Linked DNA regions of Drosophila melanogaster. The protein of the gene in region 1 purifies or fractionates together with the protein of each later gene. This does not show direct contact. Each region holds a gene or a part of one and is shown in the gene's direction. Other genes may lie near its edges.

Evidence for each region.
Region 2: the proteins of AGO2 (region 1) and vig purify together in Drosophila melanogaster (affinity purification with western blotting; 3 studies listed by BioGRID, with this or other methods). This does not show direct contact.

What each region holds. Positions count from the first base shown.
Region 1 is NT_037436.4:15,552,276-15,560,114, forward strand, and holds the start of AGO2 (argonaute 2), read left to right. Parts: upstream 1-1,837; 5' UTR 1,838-1,931; coding exon of another isoform or gene 1,932-1,947; 5' UTR 1,948-1,989; coding exon 1,990-2,197; intron 2,198-4,547; exon of another isoform or gene 4,548-4,574; coding exon 4,575-5,842; intron 5,843-5,974; coding exon 5,975-6,063; intron 6,064-6,118; coding exon 6,119-6,728; intron 6,729-6,824; coding exon 6,825-7,839. UniProt on the Drosophila melanogaster protein: Essential for RNA interference (RNAi); double-stranded RNA induces potent and specific gene silencing.
Region 2 is NT_033779.5:15,064,315-15,072,097, reverse strand, and holds the start of vig (vasa intronic gene), read left to right. Parts: upstream 1-1,781; 5' UTR 1,782-1,952; intron 1,953-2,001; coding exon of another isoform or gene 2,002-3,064; intron 3,065-3,227; coding exon of another isoform or gene 3,228-3,615; intron 3,616-3,668; coding exon of another isoform or gene 3,669-3,692; exon of another isoform or gene 3,693-3,716; intron 3,717-4,019; exon of another isoform or gene 4,020-4,182; intron 4,183-4,408; 5' UTR 4,409-4,470; coding exon 4,471-5,161; intron 5,162-6,641; coding exon 6,642-6,908; intron 6,909-7,149; coding exon 7,150-7,664; 3' UTR 7,665-7,783. Other genes in the region: vas (vasa), read right to left, coding at 3,228-3,615, 3,669-3,692; solo (sisters on the loose), read right to left, coding at 55-1,675, 2,002-3,064, 3,228-3,615, 3,669-3,692.

The sequences.
Region 1 (7,839 bases):
CGTCAAGTTGGAGTTTCAATAGATGGAAAGCATACGAATTTATAATGGGTATCCGTATCCGTATCTGCATCCGTATCCATATCCGTATCTGTATCCGTATCCCCAATTCGGTTGCGTTCTCCACCTGCCGCGTTGCCTGGCCAATTTAAAACAATTTCCGAGCCAATTATGAAAATGAATTATTGTTTGTTAAGTTTTATTTTATAAGACGGCGCTGCACTGACCGAAGGGATATTTTGAGAGTATAACCCAATTTAATCAAATTTCGCAGCAATTATTTTGTTTTTTATGTTTACAATTTGTGTTTTACGTTTTAGTGCAATTTTTTGGCATACATACATATTTATACAGATATTTTTGTATTCTTTTCGCAGCGTTCTAAATGAGTCATTCTAGTTTTTATTAGTTGAATTTATAAACACAAAATTACTTAACGGAAATTTCAAGCGTAACCCGTTGATTTCCTATCAACTCGATAATATGTATCTATAAAATATAATTTAGCTATTTCTACGTATGTCTGTGCATGTGTGTATAAATCAAGCGGGCGAAGTTGTGCAATTGTTAGAAAATTTTTAAAAGAAAGATATTTAGTAAAAATACGAAAATCAGAAATCGATGTTGAAAAACAAAACGCTCGTGCAATGACAAACAAAATTTTATTAATAAAGCGTTAAACAAACAAATTAAAGACAACATGAAATATACATTATGATATATTTATATATACAAGTATGAATAATGTACGACTATTTACTATTTTTTGGCTATAGCATTTTAAACGCATATATTGTATGTTTAACGTTGAAAATGGAAAAAACAAACAAAACAAGAAAATACATCAAAAAAAATTGTAAAACTTTTATGATTGGTTGCTGTAATTTGGCAAAAGTAAAAGTGCAATTCCAAATAAAATTCAAACAACCATACAAACAGCAGGAATCTGGGTCTTTTATTTATTTATTATCTATGGAAAAACAATACTTTTTCTGGAATGTAAAACTATTTTTCACTTAAAGGCGGAAAAATAAAAATAATGCTTTCTAGCAGTGGTGATTAAATTTATTGATTCTTACTGATGTCTTCTTCCAAAATAAAATTTAAAAAAAAAAACTAGTAAATTAAAATTTTTTTCCTATTTTAAACTTCCCCGATAATCAGATGCCAGTTACTCAACTATTGGAAATGCGAACGCAAATTAGATATTGGTGAATAAAATAAGAAAAAAAATTAAAATTGTTAAAAATTGTAAGCGTGGCTTTTCGGCGGTTTGTGGGAGTAATAGTAGTTTGGCAGATCAATAGAAATTTACAAGACTAATCAAAATATGAAAAATATCACATTTTGCATAACTGTGGGCGTGGCAATTTAAAGTTTTTTGGCAGATCGATGGAAATTTACAAGACTAATAAAAATATGAAAAATGTCAAAACATTTTGAAAATGTGCGTGGGAAGTTTTGGGGGCTTTCCGTAATCTCAATTTTCTAGCTTCTTATTCATCCTGAGATCTCGACGTTCGTACGGACTGACAGATGGACGGAAAGACGGACATGGCTAGATCGACTCGGCTATTGGTCCTTATATATATAATATATATAATATATTATAATATATATAATTTATTAGGTCGAAATCGGTTTCTTTTGCCGGATACATGCTTTTCAACGAATATAGCATACATTTGACTCAACAAGCAACATGTATACAAAACATGTATAAAAATATACAAATATAAATAGAGTCCCCACTTGAATGGCCCGCCTAGTCCGTATGTTCCTATCAATAATCGATAACAGAAAACACTTTAGCTGTGCCGCTCAATAACTTATCGCCCACCCCTAAGGCCTCCCATCACTAAAAAAGACTGTGACGCATTAAAAAATCGTCTATTAAAAGTCGTCAGTTAACTCGAAACCCTCAAAAGTAAATCATGGGAAAAAAAGATAGTGAGTTGTCCCACCTGCAGGACCATACAGCTATTCAAATATATGCACTTTCCAATTACCACCCCAGAGAACAAGAAAGGAGGACAGGATAGCGCTGCAGCACCACAGCCCCAGCAGCAGCAAAAGCAACAACAACAACGGCAGCAACAACCACAGCAGCTGCAACAACCACAGCAGCTGCAACAACCACAGCAGCTGCAACAACCACAGCAGCAGCAACAACAACAACCGCATCAGCAACAACAACAAAGTAAGTGCAAAGTGCGATATATCGGCGTAGGCAAAAAATAGATGTATGCATGCATGTACATACATATGTTTTGTACATATGGATTTACCATTTGCAATCAAATGCTCCATAAACTTTCGAAATGCCTGGGAATTCCCGAATTCGTGGCAGCCATGATGAAATTCAACTGCCATGGTTGTATAGAACCTATGTATGTGTGTATTATACTTAAAGGTGAATTCTACTGTATATAACAGTTATTGAATTTCCCCTTAACATAACTAAATTAAAATTCCTTTATATTTAAAAAAATGAATTTTGCTATGAAATGTAACAGTTGTGCTTTAGGCAGAAGCATCAAACAATTAAGAATTAAAATCTGCTCAAATCTGTAAATCTTAATCTTAATTTATACCAGATCCGACATTTTAACTCAATTATAAACTTATTAAAAATCTGAAAGATGAAGCGAAATTGAACATTTGACATCAATATATCTTTACATTTAAGGTTATGTACATACAGTTTGTCAAGAAACTGTTTACACACTGTGAAATAAGTTGAATTTTTGACTTTAAAGCTAAAAATAAAGGGTTTTTTGCTTAATTAAACGCAATTTTTTTATAAAATATAATTAAACAATATTTATTTTACTTATAAATAAAAAACAAATTAAAAATATTAAATATACAAGAAAATAAACAACAAATTCCAGGTTTACACACTTTTGAGACTGTCAAGAAACTCTTTACACATTTTGTTTTCCTACTTTGTTTTGTTCTTTTTCTTAGAACGAACTCGATTTTTCCGTTATTTTTGGCTTCGCATTGCTTTTTACAACGCTTCTATTGAAATTTGTTGACTTTGCTTGTGAAATTTTGCTGATCAAACGTGCTTAAAGCGAATTATTAAATTTAATAAAATGCCTGGAAAGAGATTAACTTTTGAAGTTACCCAATTAATAAACTATAACCACCAGTTGGGAAAATCTTTTCCAGAATTAGTATAAATGTTTCCTGTATCCCGTAAGACCGTCTACAATGTTTTAAAAGGCTCGGAAAAAGAGGGCAGGCTTGAACCTAAGAGTGGTGGTGGACGGAAAATTAAAATTAAAAAGCGTGTAGACCGCTTTATTATGCGAATAGTGATTGCGAACCCCCGAATCTCGGTCAGATCACTTGCTCTGGATATCAGGCAAGAATGCCACCTAACTGTGTCACACGAAACTGTGCGCCAAGTCATCCTACGCCATAGGTACTCTTCAAGATTTGCAAGGAAAAACCCTTTGCTATCAGATGCCAATATGGAAAAGCGTCATTAATTCGCTGTGAGCATGATGGATCATGCGGAAGAGTACTGGGATGACGTCATATTTTGTGACGAAACAAAAATGATGCTCTTTTATAACGACGGGCCAAGCAGAGTATGGCGCAAACCGTTGAGTGCGCTAGAAAAACAAAATATCATTCCAACGATAAAATTTGGAAAAATGTCACTGATGATGTGGGGCTGTATCACCAGCCGTGGAGTGGGAAAACTAGCCTTAATTGAGAGCACAATAAATGCCGTGCAATATCTAGAAATGTTAAAAAACAAATTTGAAGGCCAGTGTAGAAAAAATTAGTCTGGTTAGCAACAACAAGCCAAATTTTAAGTTTTACCAGGACATGATCAGAAACATAAAGAGTGCAATGTACGCACCTGGCGCCTTAATAACTGTGGTAAAGTGATCGATACGCCCCCTCAGAGTCCTGATCTGAACCCCATTGAAAATTTGTGGACCTACTTAAAGAAGAAGGTGGCAAAAAGGGACCTAAAACACAACAACAGCTTATGACTGTAATAGTCGAAGAGTGTGAAAAGATCCCGTTTGAATATGACCTGCAAAAACTTGTCCAATCCATGAAAAAAAGGCTTCAACTTGTAGCTAAAGCCAATGGGGAACATACTACATACCAAAACTTTTAAAATTTTAATAAAATAATTAAAAAATTTAGGATTAAACTTCGATTTAGTGTTTTGTGTAAAGAGTTTCTTGACAGTCTCAAAAGTGTGTAAACTTGGAATTTGTTGTTTATTTTCTTGTATATTTAATATTTTTAATTTGTTTTTTGATTTATAAGTAAAATTAATATTGTTTAATTATATTTTATAAAAAAATTGCGTTTAATTAAGCAAAAAACCCTTTATTTTTAGCTTTAAAATCAAAAATTCAACTTATTTCACAGTGTGTAAACAGTTTCTTGACAAACTGTATGTATTTTAAAGTGATACAAATTATTTTCGCGTTAGCAAATTCAAATCAGCCAAGTGAATACTTTTCGAAGAGTTTGCTTGCAGTTTTTTCGAAACCTAACACCTATTGTAATAAACATTCTTTGTCGATTTCTAAATCTAGGTTCGAGACAACAGCCATCCACAAGCTCAGGCGGATCCCGTGCATCTGGGTTCCAGCAAGGAGGCCAACAGCAAAAATCCCAAGACGCAGAAGGATGGACTGCACAGAAAAAACAAGGCAAACAGCAGGTACAAGGGTGGACTAAACAAGGTCAACAAGGTGGCCATCAGCAAGGACGACAAGGGCAAGACGGTGGCTACCAACAGCGTCCGCCTGGACAACAACAAGGTGGCCATCAGCAAGGACGACAAGGGCAAGAAGGTGGCTACCAACAGCGTCCGCCTGGACAACAACAAGGTGGCCATCAGCAAGGACGACAAGGGCAAGAAGGTGGCTACCAACAGCGTCCGTCTGGACAACAACAAGGTGGCCATCAGCAAGGACGACAAGGGCAAGAAGGTGGCTACCAACAGCGTCCGCCTGGACAACAACAAGGTGGCCATCAGCAAGGACGACAAGGGCAAGAAGGTGGCTACCAACAGCGTCCGTCTGGACAACAACAAGGTGGCCATCAGCAAGGACGACAAGGGCAAGAAGGTGGCTACCAACAGCGTCCGCCTGGACAACAACAAGGTGGCCATCAGCAAGGACGACAAGGGCAAGAAGGTGGCTACCAACAGCGTCCGCCTGGACAACAACAAGGTGGCCATGAGCAAGGACGACAAGGGCAAGAAGGTGGCTACCAACAGCGTCCGTCTGGACAACAACAAGGTGGCCATCAGCAAGGACGACAAGGGCAAGAAGGTGGCTACCAACAGCGTCCGTCTGGACAACAACAAGGTGGCCATCAGCAAGGACGACAAGGGCAAGAAGGTGGCTACCAACAGCGTCCGTCTGGACAACAACAAGGTGGCCATCAGCAAGGACGACAAGGGCAAGAAGGTGGCTACCAACAGCGTCCGCCTGGACAACAACCAAACCAAACCCAGAGCCAAGGCCAATACCAATCTCGTGGACCACCTCAGCAACAGCAGGCTGCCCCATTACCATTACCGCCTCAGCCAGCCGGGAGCATTAAGCGCGGAACAATCGGCAAACCCGGGCAAGTAGGCATCAACTATCTGGACCTTGACCTGTCCAAAATGCCTTCTGTGGCATACCACTATGACGTGAAGATCATGCCAGAGCGTCCCAAAAAGTTTTACAGACAGGCATTTGAACAATTTCGGGTGGACCAATTGGGCGGAGCAGTTCTTGCCTATGATGGCAAAGCCTCTTGCTACTCGGTGGATAAGCTGCCGTTAAATAGCCAAAATCCGGAAGTGACTGTAAGTTGCAAGAAATTGTCTACTAAGTTATGAACAACTGGGAGTAATAACATTTTTAAATGTATACAGTGGCAGTTAAATTTAATTTAATCTATACGATATTTTAGTTGTTTTTATTTCTTATTATTTTAGGTGACAGATCGTAATGGTCGTACTTTGCGCTACACGATCGAAATCAAGGAGACTGGTGACTCGACCATTGACCTTAAATCGTTAACTACGTAAATATAAATTATGTTTTTTATGGATACTCCTATTGAACGCGCTCCTCTGCAGTTATATGAATGACCGAATTTTCGACAAGCCCATGCGAGCAATGCAGTGCGTGGAGGTTGTTTTGGCTTCACCCTGCCACAACAAAGCCATCCGTGTCGGTCGTTCCTTCTTTAAGATGTCCGATCCTAATAATCGTCACGAACTGGATGATGGATACGAGGCCCTGGTCGGTCTGTATCAGGCATTTATGCTGGGCGATAGGCCATTTTTAAATGTAGATATATCGCACAAATCCTTTCCGATTTCAATGCCGATGATCGAATATTTGGAGCGATTTAGCTTAAAGGCTAAAATCAACAATACAACGAATTTAGATTATTCGCGACGCTTCCTTGAGCCATTCCTCAGAGGCATTAATGTGGTTTACACGCCTCCTCAGTCGTTTCAAAGCGCTCCAAGGGTATACCGTGTAAATGGTCTTTCTCGTGCCCCGGCCAGCAGTGAGACCTTCGAACACGATGGGAAGAAGGTCACCATTGCGTCCTACTTCCACAGTCGCAACTACCCATTGAAGTTTCCCCAACTCCATTGTCTGAACGTTGGATCTTCAATCAAGAGTATTCTGCTGCCCATCGAGCTATGCAGCATCGAGGAAGGTCAGGCCCTAAACGTGAGTTCACTAAATTCCTTTATATCTATATCTTGGTGTTCAATACCGTAAGCTATATTGTCATTACATATACCTATAAACATATGTATTTCACAGCGCAAGGATGGAGCAACTCAGGTGGCCAATATGATAAAGTACGCAGCCACATCGACGAACGTGCGAAAGCGCAAGATTATGAACTTGCTGCAATACTTCCAGCACAACCTGGATCCGACCATCAGTCGCTTTGGCATCCGCATTGCCAACGATTTTATTGTGGTAAGCACCCGCGTCCTAAGCCCACCTCAGGTTGAATATCATAGTAAGAGGTTTACTATGGTGAAGAACGGGTCGTGGCGCATGGATGGCATGAAGTTTCTGGAGCCCAAGCCCAAGGCGCACAAGTGTGCGGTCTTGTATTGCGATCCGAGGAGTGGTCGCAAAATGAACTATACCCAGCTGAATGACTTCGGGAACCTAATAATATCCCAAGGCAAGGCAGTCAACATAAGCTTGGATTCTGATGTGACATACAGACCGTTCACGGATGACGAACGCAGCCTAGACACTATTTTCGCGGATCTGAAGCGCAGCCAGCACGATCTGGCAATTGTGATTATTCCTCAGTTTAGAATTTCTTACGATACAATTAAGCAGAAGGCCGAGCTGCAGCATGGAATTTTGACGCAATGCATTAAGCAGTTCACCGTGGAACGAAAGTGTAATAATCAGACGATTGGAAATATTCTACTTAAGATCAACTCCAAGCTGAACGGCATCAACCACAAGATCAAGGATGATCCTCGTCTGCCGATGATGAAGAACACCATGTACATTGGAGCCGATGTGACCCATCCCTCTCCCGATCAGCGCGAGATTCCCAGTGTGGTCGGAGTAGCAGCCTCACACGATCCCTACGGAGCCAGTTATAACATGCAATATCGTTTGCAGCGAGGGGCTCTGGAGGAGATTGAGGACATGTTCTCGATTACTTTGGAGCACTTGCGCGTGTATAAAGAGTACCGTAACGCCTATCCTGATCATATCATCTACTACCGAGATGGCGTGAGCGACGGCCAGTTTCCGAAAATCAAAAACGAGGAACTGAGGTGTATTAAACAAGCCTGTGACA
Region 2 (7,783 bases), on another chromosome or scaffold:
AAACTAATATTAAATTTTTTTTGTATTTTTAAAATTAAAATGCTTTTTATTTGATTAGAGCAGCCCGAAAAATCTACCATCCGAGCTAAGACTTATAATATTTGCAGTCTTAAGCTCGAGTAAAAAGCGATATGCCATCAACGCATCCTTGCGATTTCGGATGAATGGTGCATTGTGCATATCAACCTGGGACTGTCTGATAAGAGCACCGAAGAGCCCATGAACTACTCTCATCTTATCCTTCTGAATGTTCTGAATTATACGTGGATCGTAGACTTTGACAGCGGGCATTGTACTAAAATTTAGCGCGCCTTGGCTATTTTCCTTAAAAGGCCCCAGGGAGCTGACCTGTGCCCCTAGTTCCTCTTGACGATCTACCATCAGACGAACCACATTAGCGTGTTGTGAAATATATGCCAAATCGTTCATGGACACTCGATATAGTTGATTTTGCATTGATGTTCTGCGGTCACTTGGCGTTTGCAAATCATTTGTTGATGTCGATGGGGCGATATTTACTGCATTGTCTGTAATATTGGTGCTAACAAGATTCAAAGAATTGAGTTGCAACGACGGTAGTATCTGTATATCAGTCACATAAGCGTGATCGCTCATATTGGCCAAAGTGTTTGATACCTCCAGTGGAACTTCGTCGACTTCCATTGGCATTGGTGGAACCGATGTATTCATCATATTAGAGATGTCCATTTTTTGGGGTTTAATTTCAATTTCGGTTTTAGGTCCGAAAACAGCAATTGGATGCTGACCTATTGGAGTGGAATTTATGGGAGGCAGTAAGGCCAAAGCTTGATCAAATGATGCTTGGTCACTTGATGCATTTCCAGATATCTCCAAGGGAGCTACTACAGGAAGATCTTGAGAGAACGCTGCAGATTGCATACAAGCCCCAGAATCCGAATACCCTGTTGCCTGTGCAACTTCTAGGGAGGTCGTCGTTGCTTCTGTGGTCGGTGGTACCTCCTCTTGTAGTACATTTCGGGTGATATGGACTGATGTCGTTATTTCTTTCACTGAACGGGTTACTGCCAGACCTGAAGACGTCGTCACTTCTCCAGCTGCATTTTGTAGCAAGCTGGACATAAAAGTGGCTGCAATATGTCGGCTGCTTTGGAAGGCTTCCTCGCGACGGACAATTCGTTCCGGTGTTAGTTGCGGGCTGGCAGCTGAAGCGATACGATTACGTCGTCTGCGTGTACGCGAGCGACGACGCGCCCTTTGTGTTTGGCGAGGAGGTGGACCTTCGGCATAGTTAACCATTTCATCACGTGGTCGGAAAATCGAGCCCCACTCACGTTGCTCGCTTAGTGTTGTCTCTTCCGGCGGGAAAGCAACACTCATTTGCAGCTCGCGTGACACCCTGGTAAAGCGTAGATGATGCTCTTCGTCAATGACCGGCAGTCTAGGTCGGAATGATAGTAAAGGTGTTGATGCTGGAGGGCCTCCAAGCCGAGAACGAACCACTGTTGATCCTGGATGTCCGACTAAGCGGGTTTCATCCGCATCAGCTGGTACCACCAAAGTGTTGCTATCCATTTCTAACCCCAATGAATGCTCTGCTGGCAGTGATGGAGCCAACGGTGTCGATGCAGCGCCGCCTGCTGCCAATGATGGTATGGTCCCATCTTCGTAAGTCAAATTGGGTATAAAAGACAAGCTGTGAAACGGACATTACTTAGCTTATGTGTTCATTTAAGTTATAGAGAAGGAAACGAAAGTAAGCGAAGAGATGGAAAATATGTACATATAGAAAAGTAAGCTGAATTTATACTGCATTAAGGTACTTCTCTAATCAAATTTCCTATAAATTGTTTCGGTGTCTGGCTAAATTTGGTGTTTTTTTTTTTCTTTTATGTAATCTTTAAATGTTTGAAATCTGCTCTTTTCTACACAACCGCTCATTGGAAAAAGGGAATAAAAAGTATCCATAGATGGTAAGAAAGAAAAGCGCTAGACTAGACTAGTTAGAGTTGGTTTAAGTACCCTGGATCGCTCCTATGTTCATTTGGGGTGCTCGAAGCACGCAGAGCCACAACTCTGCCGGGGACTCCGGTTGCGGAGCAGGGAGTCTCCTCATCTCCAGTTGCATTGTAGCGACTAACGTAAATTCCATCTGGCGTTTCCTGATTTTGCGACCGCTGATGTCGTGCCAAGTTTACCATACTGCTGAGCTGACCACTACTCGAATTGTTTGGCTCGCTCGCAACAGTGGCTATTATGCGTGTCCTAATTAAGGGCTGAGAATAAAATATGCCTTTTTGATGGACCGTCGAAATGTGCTGCTTTGGAGACTCTGGCCAGTCATAAGATTGAAAAACCATATGCGGACTGCCAAAACGTACGGCCCTTATTTCATGCCGAGTGACAAAGTTCTCACTTAGCCAGTGCAGAAATCTAGTCACTCCATATGTTGATCCATCCACTTGATTATTTTCTGGGTGTTCTCGGTCTTCTGTTGGAATAGAATCTTCTCTCAATGCTCCTTGATTATCATCATACAGCCGTCGACCCGTTTGGTAACCTCGATCCAAAACCTGATGATACACGGCGTATGCGGCGCTTTGTATTTCGGTTAAGTCATCGCCATCGGTTAAACCTCCTGATCGACCGCCCTCAGTACCGCTTGTCCTGTTTGTTTGTCCATCTCTGATCTCCGAAGATTGCGGCATCACAACTTGCTGTAAATTCCTCCATTGCGACAAATCAGCTCTGCAATCCGCATCAATGCTTTGAAATCCCATCCCAATCCCATTTGCTTCCTCATGTTCACCTTCACGAATCAATCGGCCCATGTCCTCCATAAGGCGATTCATCATATCTGTTGTTTCGCGTATCTGATGTGCCTTTTGTGCACGCTTTTCTTGAGCTAATTTCTCGAGAGAAGCCCATGCTTGGTTCACCAAAGCCTTAAATGCAGTCAGCAAGTAGTCACGCAATTTTCGAATCAGTGCTAGGCTGGTCGTGTACTTGCTCAAGTCCAGCTGATCGATGAATGCGCCCACCTCATCCTTATCGCAGCTAGATGGGATCGGCGGCAGTTCCTTAGCTAGAATGTTGGCCAATTTGCCACCAATTGGGCAAATATGCATACACAAAACAAAAGAAAACAAACTACTTGACAAAACAAAGCACACCACATGGAATTCAGCAGGAATGACTCAAATGACCATAACCCAAAATTTAACATGTCGTCCAAAAGGTTTACTCACCATCCTCGTTTTCGTACAGCCGACCGCGGAAGCCGCCTTCTCCACCACGGAAGCCGCCTTGTCCCCCGCGGGAGCCGCCTTGTCCACCGCGGGAGCCGCCTTGTCCACCGCGGAAGCCGCCTTCTCCACCGCGGAAGTCCCTTTCTCCCTCGCGACGTCCACCGTGGAAGCCCCCTCCATCTCGATTTCCTCCTCGATAACCTCCAGCTCCTCCTCCTCTGCCTCCGCCGATCCTTCCGAACACATCTCGATTTCCTCCTTGGTAGCCGCCGCCTTCACCACCGCTCCCTCCAACACCATCGCCTTCAGCTTCGCCGCTGAAGCTCTTGGCCGTGTCCTCATCATCGCTCCAATCTCCACCGCGGGCGCCGCGAGTATCAACAATGGGCTAAAATAGATAGGCTTAGTAAGCATATATTCTTTGTACGAAGCAATACGAACCTCATCATCCCAGTCGTCAGACATATTGATATTTTTTTTTTAATTTGGCTGAAAGAAAAAAAAATTAATTCTATATAAGTATAAAAGCAATAACTTAATACGTTCATTTCTAAAGTATTGAATTATGAATTCTTATAATATATGCTCCAACATTTTGTACCAATTTATATAATTTGCTCAATTTTTCACATATTCTCCAACTAATGAAATTGGCTTGCACTTCAAACTAAAAAGTGCCCGCCAAATCGAGAGCCCGCTAAACACAGCTGCCATTCGAATCGATTTGCGACATTCGCCGCGAAACGCGTTGAAAAACGTGAGTTTCTGTTTTTCTATGTATACCAAGAACACATGTGGGCGCTCTGTTCGTGCTGACTGTGGTGTGCGTGATTTGGCCCATGTGCGTGTGGAATCGCGTGAGGCAGTGTGTGTAGGTAATACTAGCAGCGAGGCGAAGAAGAAACACTGAAAATTAAGGTTAGAGAGCAGCAGCCACCAAACAGCCAGCAGAAAAGTAAGAAAAATCCACCCAAAGGGCCTAAATAAATTGAGTAAATTCACGTTAGTCCACGTGTTAATGTCGTAAACCATAAATCCAGCGAATATATGCCATATTAGACCATAGTTTGTGACACGAAAAAGAAATCCTATCGAATCTCACAGGGTGTGAGAGGCGGCGGGCGAAAAAGGAAAATCAATCAATTCCCACTAAAACTGTGTGTATTTATTTCTTTTTACAGAGCAAAAAGGCAATTAAAGCGGCAGCCAGCTAGCAACGAAAAACACACCCACCCACAAAATCATGGACAGCGCCGGTAAAAATCGTTATGAACTTTTGTTCATGGACGACGATGTCAGCGATCCATTAGATAATCTTGTGGCGCCGACGGCCGCTGCTGCCGCAGCAGCAGCTGGCAAGAAGAAGCAACCGTCAGCTGCTGCTGCAGCGGCCACCAAAACGACCGCCAACAAGGTGGCCAACAGCAATAACAAGGCGAACGCAGGATCCAATATTGGTGGACCCAATGCCAAGAAACCAAATCAGGCCGAAAAGGAGAACAAGCCCAATAATGCGTTAAACAAAACCGATGGCAAGAAGTTCACTCCATCGGCCGACAACAAACAGCAGCAGTTCAATAATAACGCCAGCAGCAATTACAAACAACAGGGTGCTCCACGGCAAGGAGGTGGCGCCAACCGAACACGTGAATTTGGTAGCGGTCAAGGACAGGGTCAAGGACAAGGTGGCCAGCAGCAGCGCAGCGTAAACTTCCGTCAACAGAATGGCAATGCCGAGACTCGTGAGCAGCGCAACAATCGCCGCAATGTCCGCGAAAACGTCGGAGCACCCGATGGCCAGCAGTCGCGACCTTACCGCGGACCAGGTGGAGGCCCAGGTGCTGGCGGAGATCGTCCCCAGCGTCAGAACCGCAACTACGATGGCCAGAACAGGAAGCGCGAGTTCGACCGCCAGTCGGGTTCCGATAGAACTGGTGAGTGTGTGGTCATTTCATTAAGGCATTAAGGTACCAAATGGGTTAGGGGTCAAGTCAAGTAGATACAGTGTAGATCACATTAAAGTCTTTACAGAGAAGTATACTTAGTAAAAAGGATAGAGAAGATGGGATATTTAGGGAGTAAATCGTTTAGATTAATGACCATTTTTTCGCATATGAATAGTTAATGTTTCTGTTGATAAGATCGAAACTAAAGTTGAACCACCAAGGGGTAGACATAACCATAAAACGAGCGCGCCCATACGAAAAAATTAACAAATAAACCAAAAGCCACACTCCATGACAACCAGAAAATAAAACTCAGCAGGCAACGCAGGAAAAACAAATTCCATCCACAGTTTACGCGTAACCAATTACCATGTTTATAGTCATGAGAAATTATTAGTCGCCTTCAAGCAACATGATTCCAATCTTCTGTGTACACAACAAATATTTAAAAGAAACTGGAATTCGTTCGGTGTTTGAAATGCGATTCCTTTTAATAAACTATGTGAAATTTCCATCAATTGATTTAAGATTTCTATAGCTAATCTAAATCATGAATTTAATGTATTTCAAAGTATAAAATATTTATTAGCCTGCTCCGAGCAGATTGCCAATCTTATTTAATGGATAGTAATATTTAAACAGTTGCATTATAAATCAGTTTAAATATATATTGTTTATGCCAAGCAATTTCACGAAAAGTGCGGGAGAACGGTGTAAACCAATTTGTGGCACACAAAATCCCGATGAACTTATGGGCAATGGTCAAACAACACAGGCAAATCTCCCACTCACGTGGGGGATAAGTGAGTCAAATCAATACTAATGGTCGGACAGAACATTCAACAAGCTACATCACACTTCTTTCCATTGAATGAAATCTATTTCGCCGCGTTTTCCCCCGTTTTCCACTGCCTGCTTAGACCGACCGCTTCGTTTTTGGAATATCCAAAATTATAATATCACAGCGGCCGGCAGCAACAGAAACAAGAAGCACTGCGGCACAAATCGAAAGAGAAAATGTGTTAAAAATAGTTCGCCCATCTTCTTGGCGGCATTCCCGTCTAACGCAAGTGCTTGTAGGAGGCCTTTGCAGGCATAATCATTGGGGGGAAACAGGGGTTGGAATAGTTCCCCCACTGAATCTGATTACAGTGAACTGGGGCTGCTACTGTCGGCTTATCTGTGACTATGCGAGCGAGGGCAGTGAATATAGTCCCCCTATCGTGGTTACTTCTCAATTGACCTAATTAGTGGGGTATTGATAAAATAGACCATTATTTGGCTAATAATTAAAGTATTCAGTTAATAAATTAAGCAGAAAAACTTACTTTAGGGCTTGCAGGCAAGTTGCACTATAGCTGTGGCTAAAATTTGCAAATATAGAAGCTCAGATTTTCCGCTTCTTGACGTTTCTGAATTTAAGCAGACATAAATCATTATTAATATTTGATACTTTCTTTATGCACAGGTGTGAAGTCAATTGACAAACGCGATGGAGCTGGCTCCCACAACTGGGGATCGGTCAAGGAGGCTATTGATGATGTGAACAAGAACGAAAGCGAAACCAATGTGACCAATGCCGAGGGCGGCGCCAAGGCCGATGAATCTGGCACTGAACCACAAAACGAGCAGGCTACCGCCGAGGAGGAAGCCAAAGAGCTGACCTTGGACGAGTGGAAGGCACAGCAAGGACAGCGCATCAAGCCAACCTTTAATATCCGCAAGGCTGGAGAAGGTGCGTGAACAATGCATAATTTTTTTATGGTTAATAATTTGAATTCGATACCACGGAATGATAGTTTAACTTCCGTTATTCTAAGAAACCTTTTCGCCAAGCCAACAACCAAAGTTACAAATCATATTGAGCTAAAATCCGTATAAAAGAAGTATAAAATTGAAAATCAAACCGATCTTAGCTTAACTCTAAATGATGGCCTATCATCTAGAAATTAATCTACAATCAATATTTCCCGCAGGTGAGGACACCACACAATGGAAGAAAATGGTCGTCCTAACTAGCAACAAGAAGAAGGAGAACGACAGCGAAGAGGAGCTCGAGTACGACCCTGCCCTTTATCCACAGCGTGTGGGCAGGCAACAGCGCGTCCTGGACATTCAGTTCAATTTCAACGATGGTCGTCGTGGCGGACCTGGCGGTTTCGGTGGACGCGGTGGCCGTGGAGGCCCCAGACCCGGTGGATTTGGAGGCGGACCACGCAGCGAGGGTGGCAACCGCGATGGCGGCAATCGTGAGGGCGGCCGAGATAATCGTGAGGGTGGAAACCGTGGCCCACGGGATGGCCAGCAGCATAATAACGAGGGCGGCGGTTCATCCGCTCAAAATCAAAGGCCACCCATCGATCGTCGCGGTCCGGGAAACAACCAGAACAACAATCAGAACAGCGGTCCAGGGCCGAATAAGCGTTTTGAGCGACAACAGAACACCGCTCCCAAGGTCAACGATGAGCGTCAGTTTCCCACTCTGGCTTAAATCGATCGTTTTGGGCAGGAGTAGGTTCCTCAAATTGCAGTTTTGGTTACTGACGATGGTGAATGAAAGCAGCAAGTTACCAAAATGAAAACTTATAAATTACGTATATCACAGACAAC